Linked DNA regions of Neurospora crassa OR74A. The main gene of each other region encodes a partner of the protein of the gene in region 2 in a complex. Links are inferred from orthologs where the notes say so. Each region holds a gene or a part of one and is shown on either strand. Other genes may lie near its edges.

Region 1 (7,742 bases), on a different chromosome or scaffold from region 2:
CACGACTGGAGCGCTGACCGTGAGAAGGTCGAGGGTGACGAGGCGCCTTTCTATACCCCCAGACAGGTTGCCGAGAAGGTCAAGAGGTTTTTCCACTTTTATGCCATCAACAGGCACAAGATGACCACCTTGACTCCCGCATTGCATTGCAATGATTACTGTAAGTTCCGGACATGATCCATTTGTCGAAGTACCTCGACTGACCCCATCATAGCGCCGGATGACAACAGATTTGACCTTAGGCCGTTCTTGTATCCCCCCTTCTGGAAGAGCTGGAGCTTCAAGAGGATCGATATGGAGCTTGAGAGGATCGAGAAGAAGAGGGAGGAGCGTGCGGGAAAGGGCAAGGAGACTGCTTAGTGTCGACAAATACTCGACTAGAATGTGTTCGGTAGTCTTCAAATGAAATTTAAGAAGCCAAAAAAAGATTATCGACGACTGGCTCGAACGCACCACCTCTCTCCAAGCAAGCAAGAGAGGAGAGGAGAGGAGCAAAAAACAACAACCGCCCGGTCAGAGCATCGGTGAACCGTTTGATTTCATCTGTCGACTGGAGCGTTCCCAGATACCATATAGGTAGACCGGCTACTAGATGTGAAGACCCCTTTCCGTATCTTAGCACACCGTTCCCGATCCGGACAGGCAATAGGTTTTTGAGTTTTGAGAACTCAAACGGTAGACCGTTGTGCCATCTGACCAAGCGGTTGTTGTTGAAATTAGGGACCAACCGGGTCCCTAATATGGTCATTAGCGTTGAGGTTGAGATCGGATGAAGGAGCCGTAGGGAAGGTACGGCAGCTGCTGCGGGACTCGAAGGTCGAACGGTTCGGCTGGGGGAAGAACGCTGAATCATATCTACTTCACACATTTGGTCGTATTCCAGCATCAAGATCTTGATTCTATCGATTTTCAAGTATTTGTCTGCGAGTTATCTCCAGATTCGAATTCGGGGGCGAGTGAGGGACAGCTCCTTGATGCGACAACCTCAATGGACAACCAGGGTTAGGGGTAGATAAGGATAAGACAGTCGGAGCTTGTGCCCACTGAGTGCAAAGTTGGGTGGGCCCCCTCCACAGCCCAATTGGCTCCACAGGCTCTGGACCATTTTTTGTACTTTTCCTCGTTTCGGAATTTGCAAATCTTTTCCCCCTCCTCTCCTCTCCGTCTCTTCATTCTTCGTTCCCTCCGCGGTTCAAGAACCAGCACGATATGCTGCGTCAACCTTTCAACAAAGCCAGTGCCATTCAATGACCAGTGGTGATTGTTAGCTGCATCTTTTTACCAGTGCACTAACCAGGATCCTCCAACATTGTCCTTCGCCATGGCATCGAATGGCGTCGTCGCTCCTGTCGCCTCTACCGAGGCACAGGTTGTCGTCGATGAACAACAACAACAACAACAGCCCGAGCAGCAGCTCGCTGCCCAGATCTCCAAGCTCGAAATAGCCGAGGAGAAACAGCAGCCTGAGCAGCAGCAGGAGGAACAGCAGCCTCCCCACCGGTCCCACGATCCCCAGTTCAACCAAAAGCGCAGCGACCCGTTTCAGTTCGGATCTCGCTATCTGCAGGAGCAGGATGACGTCTTTGAGTTCAACGCGTGGGATCATGTCGAGACTGATGACGCATACAAGGAGTATGCTGAACAGCAGTACGAGATGCAGCGCAATGCGCCCGTCTCGGACTTTGATAAGCGTAAGTAGCCACTCGTCCATCTTTCACACCTCGCTCTCCCCAATGGTTCACGCTAAGAGAGGGGTTCATACCCATTGCACCTCTCTCTTGGGCTTCCGTGATGATTTACAATCATAAGCATAGTTCATCTGAATTATTCATGAAGACAACTACGTATTTTATAGTCTTTCGCTCCCATCTGATTTTGCCCTTTACCATTGGGTTCTGTTTCAAACAAACACCAAGTTGCTACCACATCCAGACCTTGGAGCAGTCTGCTAACTCAACTTGCCTGCAACAGACCGGTTCAACTCGGACCCTGCAAAGTGGTGGAACCAGTTCTACAAGAATAACACCGCCAACTTTTTCAAGGATCGCAAGTGGCTTCAGCAGGAGTTCCCTATCTTGGACAAGGTCACCTCTGAGGGATACGGCCCCTGCACCCTCCTCGAAATAGGAGCTGGCGCGGGCAACACGGCCTTCCCCATCCTGTCCAAGAACAAGAACCCCGAACTGAAGATCCACGCCTGTGATTTCTCCAAGAAGGCCGTCGAGGTCATGCGCTCGCACGAGGCCTACAACACGGACCAGATGCAGGCCGATGTGTGGGACGTGGCCGGCGACGAGCTGCCCCCTCACCTTGATGAGAACTCGGTGGACGTCGCCCTCATGGTGTTTATCTTCTCTGCATTGTCCCCGTTGCAGTGGAAGAAGGCCGTCGAGAATGTCTACCGTGTGCTCAAGCCCGGCGGTGAAGTGTGCTTCCGTGACTATGGAAGAGGAGACTTGGCTCAGGTCCGCTTCAAGAAGGGTCGTTATCTGGACGAGAACTTCTACATTCGTGGTGATGGCACTCGCGTCTACTTCTTTGAGAAAGACGAGCTGGCCGATATTTGGTCGGGCAAGCTGTTTACCAAGGACAGTGAGGTCGAGGACGCTTCTGAGCCTGACATCCGCTTCGTGATTGAGGACCTTGGTGTCGATCGTAGATTGCTCGTCAACCGGGCAAAGAAGCTGAAGATGTACCGCTGCTGGTTGCAAGGTCGCTTCAGGAAGCCATTGCCGCAGTAGAAAGAATAAACAATTGATACCCATTTCTCACCACTTTCTGTTCACCTTTTGATTACCTGTGATGTGTTGCCTAGTTCTTTTGGTGTCTGCTGTACTCGTGGTATGGGATAGCATGTCAGAACCATAAATCTACATGTTGAATATGATCAAGTTAATGATGTTCATCAAATCATATCCCATACATGTGTGTGTGGGTGAACTTGTACGAGTGTCATGTCGTCGCTATGTCGCCTGAACGCCAGAAAATACTACAACAGAAAGAAACCCGGGTCCCACATCCCATGCCCATCCATATTTCCACATCGAACCTCTTTTCAAGCTCGTCCGCATCAACCATGCATGGTATCTTCAACCCTCCATCTTGACATCCCCTTGCATCTTGCCCATATTCTTCAGCAAGTAACTCCGCTTGAAGTACTCGTTGGGGTGGACAATAGTCTCAAGCTGCGCCGCAGTCATGATACCCTCATCCTTGGCCTTTTTGAGTTCTTCCTTGTGAAGATGTTCGAATACCCTGGGTTGTATCCCACATCAGCGTTAATTCACTGCTCAAGTCCAGCAGCGTCAAGAGAGTAGCAGCAGCAAGGCGGCGGGGAGAAACATACCGATTGCAAGCCATATGAAACTTTTGCTTCTCCTTATCCTCCTTGACCCCATTCAACACCCCGCGATCCGTCACCCCCATCCCCTGCTGCAACAGCGTCTGCAGATTCTCCATGTTAAAGTGTCTGTACGGACACCCGTGCGCCTCGCCCGGTCCGGGAGGATGTTCTGTGAGAATCTTTTGGCACGAATATGGCGAGTAACCGCCGCCGCGCCGATTGCTGTCGCCGCCCACGTCGCCGTACGTGTGTCGCACGTTGTACCGGTACTCCTTGTTGAACGTGTCGTCGGTGATTTTGTTGAAACTCTGTCGCCAAAATAGCAAGCATTCTTCGAGGTTGAGGCCGATGCCCTTCAGAAAGAGGGTGTACTGGAGACGACCGTAGTGCTTCAAGTGCGCGTCCCGCCGCAGGGTGCGATGCAAATGGGACATGCAAGCGGGGAAATGGTGGTTGTTCACCAGCGTGTCGATGTTTCTGGCTGAGATATCCGCCGAGGAGATGGCGGATGAAGTACCTACGTACGAAGCGTCGGGCGTGATAAAGTTCTTGGACAAGTGTGCCAGGATGGGCGTCAAGCGGTCGTCTTCGTCTAGTCGGGGAAGGGCCCGGGCGGTTAACTCGAGCTGTCGTTCCAGCCGGGACGAGAATTCCGAAACGACCATCGCTTGCTGTTCGCGCGCGGGAACGTAGGCGTAGCCTTGTCGGAGAAAGACGCGCCGCTGTTCGACCAGCTCGGGGACGCGCAGCCACGAGACTTTGCACCATGTTTGTTGGTCTTCTTCGTATTGCTGCTGCTGCTGTTGTCCCTTTTTGTAGCCGCCGAAGGAGGCAGTCGCTGCCAACTCGGCAGCTAGTTCGCGCTTCTCTTCGTCCGAAACAGTCTCCCAGTCGAGATTAAGCGAGTTTATAAAAGCCGCGCGCTCGCGACCGTCGTCGGCGTTCAGGCGCATGCGAAATAACATGGTTTCGACGCGGGTGAAGCGGCGTCGGAGGTCCTCCGTGGACGCAAAAGCGAGACGAAGGATGAAGTGGCTGTAGTGGTCTTTTTGCCGCTGGGCGAAGAGCTGGGAGGAGGAGGAGCTGTTGGTGTCGAGCGGGAGGTACTTGTCGAGTAAAGGTTTCATGTGCGAGGCCGTCTCGGCGGGGGTTTTGTTACGGAAGGAGCATGCTTCGAGTTCGGCGAGGACTGGATTATGATAAGAAAGAGGTTGATTAGCGTTTAGAGGCACGCCCAGTATTGTAGATCACTGAGATATGAGCGTGGTATGATACATACTTCGTAACCTGTCGATGGCCCATTGTTCAAACTGCTCAATGGTGATGTCGGCTGTTGGAGGGGTCGAGTAGAAGTTGAGCCGATGGGGATAATCGGTGTCCTTGTAGGCGGCTTCTGCGAATTGTTTCTTGCGGTGGTCGAGGACGTTTCGCCTTTTGGGGTCGATGCGACTGACGTTTGATCGTAGCATGATGGAGACTTGGTAGGACTGTCCTCCTGGCTTTCTGACGTGGGAGGTTGTCGGTTGGAAGCCGTGGACTGGGGATGATGTTGGTCTGGGAGACGCGTCTAAAGTTACCTTGACGCGCAGCTCTTACAAAATCAATTAAAAAGCTGGCCAATCACAGGCGTAATTTTGTCCGTGAAGTTGGGCGCGATGCTGCTTTGACCCTAACCCTAGAAAGCCAGCCGGTCACCGAAGACCCTTTTACTCGCAAACTTGGACTTTCTTTCCACTGTTCAAAGTTTCTCAGTCTGTCTTTTCCCGGTGGGATCTTCTCGTATCATTGTTTGGAGAGCCAGGCCTATGTCGCCTGTTTCCCAAACCTCATTCATGGCGGATCGATAGGTTGCCAAGCGGAAACGAAGCTGTCAAGCTTCTAGTCTAAGGACAGGACAAGAGGCTCATGGTTCACTGATACTGACATTTTAACTATTCCCGAACACATCTCAAAGCCGACATGACATCGCTAACAAACTCAAAATAAACAGAATGAAAGGACATCAAGTGATGCGAGGTTCACAGCCTCAAATGCGACCGCCACAGGTATCACTCTCCCGTACGACTCCTACATCCTAATCCAGCTCTAGGCCTTTGCTGTTTGACCGGTCATAAACGCACTAAAGGCAGTCTTTATAAAAGTTAGTTTATGTCATGTCCAAACGTATCAAGCTGGTGTGGGGTTTGACAAACCGCATTCCTTGTCTGGATGAATATTGTTCCAGGGCCAGTGAATTTGCACACCAGTCCTTCGCCAGAAGCGAAGCCCGATAGTAAGCCGCCGGAAGCAACACGTTCCAGAACGTACTTGGTATTCCATGCGACCAAGTGGCCGTTGTCAACAATGTACTTCTCGCCGTCCGCCAGCTGTCTCCTCTGTTAGCAACCCGCACCCTTCCACTCGGACTTCAGACAACTGATAACTCACATCTTTCCGAACAATGGCACCAAAACTCGTCAGCCACAACAGCCCCGTGCCACTAATCTTGTACACCCACAATCCCTCACCAGAGAACATGGCCTTTCCCAGTCCCTGGCGCTTATAGTCCTTGGTGACGTTCTGCGTCGAAGCAAGGTATCCATCGTGGCTGACAGACCAGGTCTGGGAGCCATCCAGGCGGAGACTCGTGATATCGCCGAGCATGGCAGGGGCCAAAAGCAACTCACCCGGACCGGTGTAAGTCGAGCTGCCCATCTCGCCGCCGGCAACAAGTTTCTTCAAGCCAAACTTGTAGGCTCCCTTGAGGGACATGGAGGGGGACATGGCGATCATTGATCCTGTGCGAGAATAAGATAGAGACTGTTAGCCAAGTACACACTCGTTTGGATACACCTATGGAGTGAATTTCAAGAGAGAAAGCATACCCGGCTTAGCATCCAACGGGCAACCGATCGCCAACTGCACAGTCAAAATAGTATTGCAATCCCGATGGCTGATACGGTAACTGCCACCATTGAACGTTCCCACGTCATCCGACACCGCACCTACACCGGAAAACTGTCCGGCGGCGGGTGCACCAGTAATGGCAGCCGCTGCCGAAGTGCTCAACCCCAGACCAACCGGTTGTGTGGGTGCTGGCTGCTGCTGCTGCTGGGGCTGCTGCTCGCCTTGAGCATACGGCGGAGGAGCGGCAAACTGTTGCTGAGGAGGAGGGGTGTGGGCAGAAGTTCGGGACGCGCTGGAATCGGTCCTCATGTGCAGAGGGAGGGCGGTTGGAGCATGTTGCTGCTGGGCTGGGGGAGCCGCGTATTGAGGCTGCGGTTGCTGCACTTGCTGCTGGGCTGGTGGTGGCGCATATTGCTGGTGTTGTTGAGTCGGTGGTGGGGAAAATTGCTGGGCCGGTGGTGGGGAGAATTGTTGTTGTGGTGGTTGTTGATACTGTTGCTGCTGCTGCTGCTGCTGCTGAGGAGGAAAGGGGTACGAAGGAGTGGATGACTTGGGCGGCGGCGTGGCAGACGAGCCGGCGGACTGAGGAGGAGGAGGATAATGCCTTCCTTGCTGCTGGGTGGTCGGAGGAGATGGGTAAGAGAACTTTGTCTGGGTTGGAGGAGCAGACATGGGAGGAGGTGGGTAGCTGTGTTGAGCAGGGGCTGTTGTCCTCGTCAGTATCAACTGTTCCATCCGCTTTTCAACATTGGAACATACCTGCAGCACCGGATGCTCCAGGAGGTGCTGACATACTTGTTAGCTTTATCATATAACAATAACAAACTGAAGAGCGTATTATACTCACGAGGATAGTAAGACATATTGATTGTTTGTTTTTCTCGAACACAGGAATCCTTTCCCAGATAGTTTTGAGCTTGTTAAAGGAATGGTCCTTGTCTTGATGAACCTCGCCAAGTCTCGATGGGAACTTTTGGAGTAAACTCGAGGGATTCCCCGCACTTATAAAAGAAGCTGACTGCAGATCACTTGTGTTGCCCGAGTTTGTGAGACCACCAGCAGAGAATGGAGATAGCTATGGTGAGAAGCCGGTTCAAAAGAAGAGAGGTTCAAACAGATTCACAGTCAGAAAACGGGGGAGAAAAAGTTAAGGGATCGGAGAAAAGAGCATCTGGCGCGGACGTCAAGTCGGCGTCCAGACTCATTTGTATTGAAGGGTGCCACTGGTACCTGAGCAGCTCTACCCTAGTGTAGCAGGGGACTGACTGAACAGTGCCCCAGATGGCCTCTCGTTGCGCGTCCGCCATAGCGGCTGTGGTGCGGGCTGCTTTCTAATTCAAGCTTCAGGGTGTATGGAGAAGATGAAGTGCCCAATCAATGGGCCTTGAAGATGACAGGAAGGGAAGAGCGCCGTCTTGTCTTCATGGGGCCATGGAGCAATAAGTGCAAGCGCGGGACGAGGGCGCTTACAGAGGGAACCGAGGAACGTGATTGGCGGCCAAGTCTTACAGGC
Region 2 (7,845 bases):
GGGAGAGGCGCGCACAGGACTGGAAGCGTAGGGAGTCGGGGATTTGGGACTCGAGAGGGTGGATTTCGAGGTCTTGTGGGCCTGAGGAGTTGTTGTTGGTGTTGGAAGAGTAGCGGCGGACGTCGAGACCGAGGTTTTCTGCGAGTTGGGAGGTCGACGTGCCGACAATGTTGGCGCAGAGACGCTCGACTGGAGGGAATATTTGCTTGCCGATGTACCATTCTACGTCCGGAGACAGGCCAGATTCGGCCTTGAGCACGTCTTGAGGGGTGTAGGCACGCTTGGCGACGGCTTCTGAGGTGGTCTTGCTGTCGCCTGTGATGATGTACGAGATGACGTCGCCCTTACGGATGGTCTTGCCCTTGGCCAACTCGCGAAGGGCGACTTGGACCTGCGGCATCGAGTCGGCATTGGGATAATCCTTGGGCGCCTTACCAAGCTGAGTCGAGATGATGTACTTTTGCACAGGGACGGCACCCTCGCGCATCTTGGCAGATATGTCACGAAGGTACTCGTGGATGCGTTGGACAGACACCTCAGTATCGTCTCCCGAGAGGATCTCGGTGAGGATACGGTTGGAGATCTCCTTGGATAGCCCGCAGTATTCACGACGCTTCATATCGAGACCTTTGACCTCCATTTTCTCAACCCACTTGCCGTTGACCTCGACCATGTTGATGGCAGCATACTTCTTCTTGGCTTGGAGGAGGATGCGCCGGAAGACGTTGTCGATATCAATCTCAAGGAGGCGGTACCGCTCGTTGACGGCCTTCTTGAACTCGTGGCCGACACGCAGGGCTTCAGCAACGTTGTCCTTGTTCGCGTTGATCATGACGGAATCCGTGTCACCGTAGATGACCTGGAGCGAGTTGCTCTCCGCCAATTCTTTGGTGCTCCGCAGAATCTCACGACCCTTATAGGTGGTGAGCACGGCAAGAGGACGGGCGTAGAAGCGCGACTTGGTATAACCAAGACAGCCGTACATGGAGTTGGCAGTCAACTTCAAGGCGAGCTGCTTGATATCCCAGGTGGCGAGCTCTTCAGGTGTGGCATTCTTGTCTTTCATCAGAGACTTGACCTGCCTACGTCGGCTAACGAGTGTGGCAATCAGCTTGGGAAGAATGCCCTGCGCCTGCTCCTTGGGAACCTCGGGAACAGCATCATCGTCCTCGGACTACTTTGCATTAGCTTGTGACGTCAACGGAGGAAGGACCCTGACTTACCAGTGATGTTCGATCAACTGTGGTAAAGCAAATGTTGTACTCTTGGATGATGGAAGGGTAAAGGGAGTTGAAGTCCATGACGAGAACGAACTTGTCATAAAGACCCTTTTCTGGCTCGAAAACCAAACCACCCTTGTATTTGTCCTTCTTCTTTCCTCCTTCTCCGCCTTCCTCTTCTGCGTTTTCCTCCTCGATGCGTTGCCGACCCTTGAAGGTCTGCTTGTCCGGGACGACATATTTGTTGCGGTGGAATTCGTGAAGCAAAATGTACTCGTTCCGCTCAGCACGCGTACCGGTAAGTGTTCTTGCCCACGAGTTACCAGCCAGGTTGGTGAGAACCTTGGTAAGAGGAAGAATTTGAGTCCTGAGTGCAAGAGCCGCGATGAAGTAAGTGTCAGTCTCGGCGTGGGAGATGTAGTCCATCAAACCATGTTTGTCAGCGTTAGCCCACGTCTTCAGGGCGACTTCGTTGTCGATATCCCTCCTACGACTTTCGCCTCCCAGATACAGACTGCACATCTCGGTCAAGGACCAGGTCTGGCACTTGGTCATTACTGATTTACCGGCATCGTTAGCAAGATCGCATAGCAGACGGCCAGACATTATCTGACGTTCGGCAAATACATTGCCACCCATCTTAACAATGGACGAGGGCCACTGAGAGCGCCTGAGTCTGCCCAAACGAGACCATTGATGTGTCTTTTTCTCGTGCAGCCGGTTCAGCAAGATGCTGTAGTCAACACCTTCTAGCTGGTGGCCAAGGATAACGTCTGGATCGACAACATCGATCTGTGCGAGCAAGAAATTCAAGATCTCGTGTTCCTGCTTGAAGAGCTTGAGCACACCTCTGTTTCTTTCCTTGGCAAGCGTCTCGAAGCCGATAGGAAATGCGCTACCGTAAGGTCTAACAGCGGTGAAACTACGAGAAGCAAGCTTGTCTGGGGGAGTGGTGTCACTGAGCGACACATCAAGGTAGACTCTCCCGCTAACCGCGAGAATCTCCTGCTTATTATCCTTAGGGTTGAACGCTGTGCGCATAGCCAGGCTTAACAACGTCAAAGGAGGAGGCTCAATACTCTCGGCGTTATCCGGGACCGACACCATGTTGGGATGTTCTACCAGGACCTCCAGCTTGCAGTGCGAAGCATTCCTCAAGGAAGTGAAGTCTGCATCCTCGATCTTGAGCCAGCAGGGGCCCATGATGTTCTTCCAGAGCACAAACTGCTCGAACAGAGCGGTATTGGTACCAAAGACGTGGGAGAAGGTTTCGCCTTTGTGGGTGGGTTCCATCGCAGGCTTGGTATATGGGTAGAGGAGCTTCAAATACTGGCTCTCCTTGGGAACGTCGGGAAGCTCGAATGCGTACTTGCGGGTGCAAGCCTTGATCTTGTGCATGCCGACATTCATCTTGGTCATGATTTCATCAACCTCGTTGTAGACGTCCATCATTTCCACCTCTTCTGTTGTTTCCTCGCCACCTCGCACACGGTACTTGCGCGGCAGGAAGAAAAGCTTCCGGAGAATGTTGTCAACCTTGACAAAGCAGCTGACGTAGGTTTTGGTCTTTTTGTTTAGGACCTTGCCAAACAAGCACAAACTGCCGTTGACCTCTGTGTAGTCTGTCCAGAACATGTTCAAGCTGCCGTCTTCTTCGATAGCGTCCTTGTAGTCAATCTTGCCAACGCTCCTGCCCTCGCTTTGTGACATGGATACGACATTGAGCTTCTGATTGATCTCGTTCCAGGAAGCAGCGTCGACCTCTGGCGCTGGTGCCCTTGCGGGTGACGAACTGGCCGGGACGGGCTCTGTCTTGAGAATCTTTTTGATTTGACGGGATGCTGATATGTTGACGCTGGCGGCTGTTACCGCTCCAGTATGGGCAACCTCCATCATGTCCTCATCTTCGTCCTCATCATCCTCATTCTTTTTGGGTTCCGGCCTGCCAAACGTCCTCCGTGTTGCTACTTTGGCGGCCGGTGAGGAGGGCATGATGGCGTCGCTCATAAGATAATCGGAGACTGGTGCAGGTTCGTCGTCCATAGCAGGCAGGTAGTCGTCGTCTGGTAGAAGGTCGTCGTCTCCTGCTGGGGATGATGCCCGATCATCGACTGTCTTGGCTCTCTTTGCCATGGGTGGCCGAGGTTCCCGTACCGGGGAGAGCACCCGGACCTTTCTCCTCTCGACTGATCGATCTCGCTTCTTGGATACTCGTGTGACCGGGACGGGGATTTGTGCGGTGACCTGGTCGATGAGGTCGTCCAAGAACTTTTCATCTTCTTCTGTTTTGATGACCTTTTGTTTTGGTGGGGCTTTGACGGCGCCTTTCGTGAAGTATTCGGTGATGTCTCTGTCGTTGGCATCTCGTTTCGCATCTTCATGTTCCTTTTGTTTCTTGGCTAAGAGGGAGGAGAACGAAGGTCAGTACCAGAACCAGAGTGCTTTATAAGTTGCTCCCATCGTCGGGTTTCAGCGTCTCGATCTGCTCACACTTGCGCGGCTTGCTGCCGGGTAGGCCTAATTCCTCCTCGCTGTCGCTGTGGTACTGGGGGAGACGGTCCCATTCTTCGCGGCCGTCGTCGGCATAACCCTCGCCATTGTCGTCAACCACGAAATCGTCCTCGTTCAAGCGGTCTCTGACGATTTTCTTGTACTGGTTCTCGTCGACTTCTTCGTAGAGCTCGTCGATCTCGCCGACGTCGTAGGTCTTCTTCTTGCCGGACTGGCGCAGTTCGCGCAGCTCAGCGTACTTGTCTCGCTTGGCTACTCGTCTGGACATTTTGACAGGCCGTTGTGATGTTGCCTTTAGGATTGGAGATTGGATGGTGACGAGACAACAGAGGAGCACCAGGCCAACACTCTGGAGAGAATGTCGACGGGGCCACCGTGATGTGGTAGTGTTGGTGACAAGAGTCGTAAGAGAAATATAGTGGGATTACAGGGTTCAATTGGTCCCCTCCAGTAACAAAAAGAAAGTCGCGTTTAGTTTCGTTACTCGTCGCGTACTTTACTGTAAACTGTAAGCGCGAACCCTTGTCCCCGTCACGGTCGTGTTTAAGAGGTGGGGCAGTTCTGCTGCTTTGGCCTAAGCGGATACCTAAGGAAAGCAACGTAGTGGCCCACGTACATAGTGTACGTACCTTTCAGCAACGGGGCCCCTGTCAGTGTACCTGATGCCGACCCCCGACCCACCGCGTCTCCACAAGTGCAAAAGGCCGCGGCAGGCATTTTTGTAGATCAGTCTCCAAAATTTCGGAATGTCATCCTAACTTTTGGCCATCATTCACGGTCTCCATCTCAGCATCATCCTCCGTCCAGAGTCCAGGGCAGTTGTGCGCCCGCCGCAGCAAAATACCAAATATCGATTTCTTCCCGGGCCATAGCTTTGATACCACATCGCCCAATTCTCAAAGTTGTCTAGAACAACAGGAAATCGTCACAGGAAACTCGACGATCCAGATACCCCACCAACCGACCATTAGCAACACAGGTACCTCGGCCCGTACCTCGCAGAAGAAAAAGATTCAAAACAATCAAGGGCAAACTCGGTTGTCCGCAAACCATGTTTGTGTGCCGGGCTTGTCTGCGGAAAGGCCTGGCTCCTGGAGCTTTGGCTAGGATAAATGCGCCTGCAGTTGGATCTCGTCTGGCCCTTCCAAGGTTAGGCGCACTTACACCAAGCCAGTCCACGACCACCATACGATCCTACCACTTGCCCGCCCTCAAGCCAAAGACTGCCGCCGATCCCTCCGTTACCCTCGATCTCGAAGCGCCGGAAGGGGAAGAAGATGGAGACGGGTCGGAAGGGAAGAGGAAGAAGAGGGACCTGAGCGACGAGCAGCGGAAGAAGCTGGAGCGCAGTGCGGCTTTACAACTAAAGCACTTCAAGGATCCCTTCCACATCGAGAAGCAGGTCAAGTTGACCCTTGACAAAGGAAAATATGAAGAGGCCCTTGTTCTCACCCGCAAGGCCAGCAAGAACGCAAAGGTCCAAGTCTCGTGGAACCATCTGATCGACTACCACATGAAGAACAAGCGTCTGTCTGCCGCCATCAAGATCTACAACGAGATGAAGAAGCGCGCCCAGGTTCCAGATGCCAGGACTTACACCATCATCTTCCGAGGCTGCGCCATGAGCGAGCACCCCAAGCAGGCAGTTGCAGAAGCCGTCAAGATCTACCACAGCTTGCTCAGGAATGAGCGCGTGAAGCCAACCACAATTCATCTTAACGCTGTCCTCGAGACATGTGCCCGCGCCGGCGATTTGGACAGCATGTTCACGACAGTACAAACAGCCAACGAAAGCACGCGCAAGCCCGACAACCTGACCTATACAATCATCTTCAATGCCCTTCGGGCCCAATTCAACCCACGACTGCCACTCGATCGGGATCCCATGCAGCGCGACCAAGAAGATATCAACCGGGAGAAACAAGAGGCCATCAACAGGGGCTTGCAAATATGGGAGGATGTACAGCGTCAATGGAAGAAGGCCAACCTCATGATCGACGAGGAATTGGTTTGTTCCTTTGGAAGGCTCCTGACTTTGGGTACCAAGGAAGACAACGAAAGAGTTTTTGAGCTTCTGTCCTCATCCATGCAGCTCCCGCGATTCCATGCTGGCGAGAAGGCAGCTGCCCAAGTGACCGCTAAGGCCGTAGACATAACCACCACGCCAGTGGTCTCATCTGAAGCAGCCTCTCCAGAAGCCACCGCCTCAGAAGCACCAGAAACGACACCAACGAAAACCACCACATCTGGTTCAACCACACCCACCGTCCAGCCTATCGAAACCAAGCCCAAGTTCGATAAGAAACCCAAATCCGTCACCCACAGTCCCAGCCTCTACGCCAAACCAGGCAACAACACCCTCTCCCTGATCCTCTCCGTCCTCTCCAACACGCGCCGCACCTCGCTCGCCCAAAAGTACTGGGACCTGCTCACCTCCACACCCTACTCCATCAAGCCAGACAAGGACAACTACTTCCGCTACTTGCGCGTCCTCCAAATCGGTCGTGGCTCCGCCGCCACCGCGGCAGTCCTCCAGTCCATGCCTGCCGAGTTCATCACGCCCATGATCCTCAAGACGGCCTTCACGACCTGCATCCGCGACGAACTAAACCCGCACGCCTTTTCTCCGCACGCCTGCACCATTTTCGACGTGATGACCAAGAAGACCCGCTACCCGGACGCCATCGCCATGCGCCTGTTTTTGCAATCCGCCCAAGGAAATTTCCGCCACATCAAGAAGATGGCCGAGACCGACCCCCTGGGGTCCCGCCAGGCAATGGGCAAGCAAATCATACTCGCCCTCGACAAGATGTGGCAGCCGTATCGGATCATGGTCAACCAATACTCGTACCCGATTGGCAGTCGTGTGCAGGCGCAGAGCCCGGAAGACGCGTGGAAGGCTGTGCGGGCGCACATGTCCGAGTGCGTGGTCACCGCTCGCCGGATGATCAGTGCCATGGACAAGGTCATGTTGAATAGCATGTGTGCCGATGACGAAATCCTCAAAGTGCTGAAGCGACGGAGGGTGATTTTGCAGAACATGGTGGAGCGGTATGTGGCCAAGGACGGGGACATGATGGGTAGGTGGAGAGAGAAGATGGTGGAGCGGTATGGGGAGGCGGGCCTGAAGAAGCGAGAAGCGGAGAAGAAGGGGGCTAGTAATGCCGGGGAAGAATATGAGTTTGGCCAGCCGAAGCCTAACGAGTTTGAGAGGAATCTTAACAAGAAGAAGGAGGAGGCGGTTGCTGCGAATGAGAAGAGGAAGGCGGAGCAGGCACAACGGCCCAAAGAGGCAGAAGAGGAGAACGAAGAGGATGAGGAAGAGGAAGAGTGGGAAGATATTACGGAAAGTCGTTATCCCAGAGACAAGACGAGGAGTTTGAGGAACGAGTTGCGGAGGGACGAGAAGAGCAGTTCCAAGTACGGGTACCAGCAAACGAGTAATAACAGCTCGTCATGGTCGAGAGAGAGTCAAGGAGGGAAATGGGATAGGGACAGCCAGCAGGATCGGTGGGGCAGCAGCGGGAGGAAACCCAGCTGGTGATGAATGGTGGATAGGTTCTTGTTAGATAAGGCTGTAAGTTAGTTTGGTTCCGGATGATTGCCCGGCAGATGATCATTTACTGTATATATAAATACACTTTTTTTGATACCTCAATTGGTCTTGTTGGACATATGTGTGTCTCTATGGTTGAATACAGTATGTTCTTCATATTCTCCCCCTTTTCCCTTTTTCTCGTGGGAGTATCTGTCTGAGCTCCATGGGACCAATGGTAAATAACTATACTACAAGAGAAAACCTCGCCGGCGAAAACACACTGAACCGCACAAAGGTAAGTAGGATAACAACATCAACAGTTGGTGCTTGAGAGTTCTATAATAATGCAGGCAGGATGCCTACCCCTGAACTCGCTCCCTTGGAGATTCCTTTTCGAACAAATGCATGAAGCACATATCAGCATCATCAAGAGAAGATACCCTTCGTGCAGCATATCATACTATCGTTACTTCTTTCTATAAATCCTGCTCTGCTGCCATCTGCCTGCTCCCTGACTTTCTTCACTCTGCACCGATTCTCTCTTCCCCCTTCCCCCGTTCGATTCCGCTCGGCAAC

What was found. Proteins that work in one complex are often made in the same cells at the same time.
Region 1: the proteins of NCU07870 (region 2) and NCU04646 are in contact, whole or in part, in a cryo-EM structure (PDB 8FOD), measured with the Saccharomyces cerevisiae proteins. The link is inferred for Neurospora crassa OR74A from reciprocal best matches to the Saccharomyces cerevisiae genes POL1 and PRI2. Residues at the interface, in NP_014297.3 of Saccharomyces cerevisiae: Glu852, Lys853, Gly854, Leu855, His856, Lys857, Asn858, Asp891, Leu893, Lys964, Met968, Asn972, Arg975, Met979, Gln983, Glu986, Ser987, Asn989, Leu991, Asp1003, Pro1099, Glu1100, Leu1103, Gln1104, Tyr1107, Glu1111, Glu1227, Glu1275, Lys1365, Asp1382; in NP_012879.1 of Saccharomyces cerevisiae: Thr71, Leu72, Glu73, Arg140, Ser141, Lys142, Glu143, Ile272, Tyr275, Gln276, Arg280, Asp285, Arg286, His349, Arg351, Tyr352, Tyr353, Arg355, Glu389, Lys390, Lys393, Glu394, Tyr395, Arg409, Lys413, Ser422, Pro424, Arg425, Pro426, Gly427.

The regions. Positions count from the first base shown.
Region 1 is NC_026505.1:1,345,300-1,353,041, forward strand, and holds NCU04646 (DNA primase large subunit), read right to left. Parts: upstream 4,903-7,742; 5' UTR 4,813-4,902; coding exon 4,623-4,812; intron 4,533-4,622; coding exon 3,347-4,532; intron 3,256-3,346; coding exon 3,090-3,255; 3' UTR 2,864-3,089; downstream 1-2,863. Other genes in the region: NCU04648 (glutamine-dependent NAD(+) synthetase, variant), read left to right, coding at 1-160, 215-360; NCU04647 (actin binding protein), read left to right, coding at 1,322-1,691, 1,972-2,741; NCU04645 (DUF124 domain-containing protein), read right to left, coding at 5,429-5,473, 5,536-5,709, 5,771-6,120, 6,208-6,933, 6,989-7,015, 7,077-7,092. UniProt on the Saccharomyces cerevisiae protein: DNA primase is the polymerase that synthesizes small RNA primers for the Okazaki fragments made during discontinuous DNA replication. In a complex with DNA polymerase alpha (DNA polymerase alpha:primase) constitutes a replicative polymerase.
Region 2 is NC_026503.1:1,181,048-1,188,892, forward strand, and holds the start of NCU07870 (DNA polymerase alpha catalytic subunit), read right to left. Parts: upstream 4,175-7,845; 5' UTR 4,000-4,174; coding exon 3,711-3,999; intron 3,620-3,710; coding exon 1,224-3,619; intron 1,175-1,223; coding exon 1-1,174. Other genes in the region: NCU07871 (hypothetical protein), read left to right, coding at 4,783-7,275. UniProt on the Saccharomyces cerevisiae protein: Catalytic component of DNA polymerase alpha, which in complex with DNA primase (DNA polymerase alpha:primase) constitutes a replicative polymerase. POL1 has a role in promoting telomere replication during interaction with CDC13.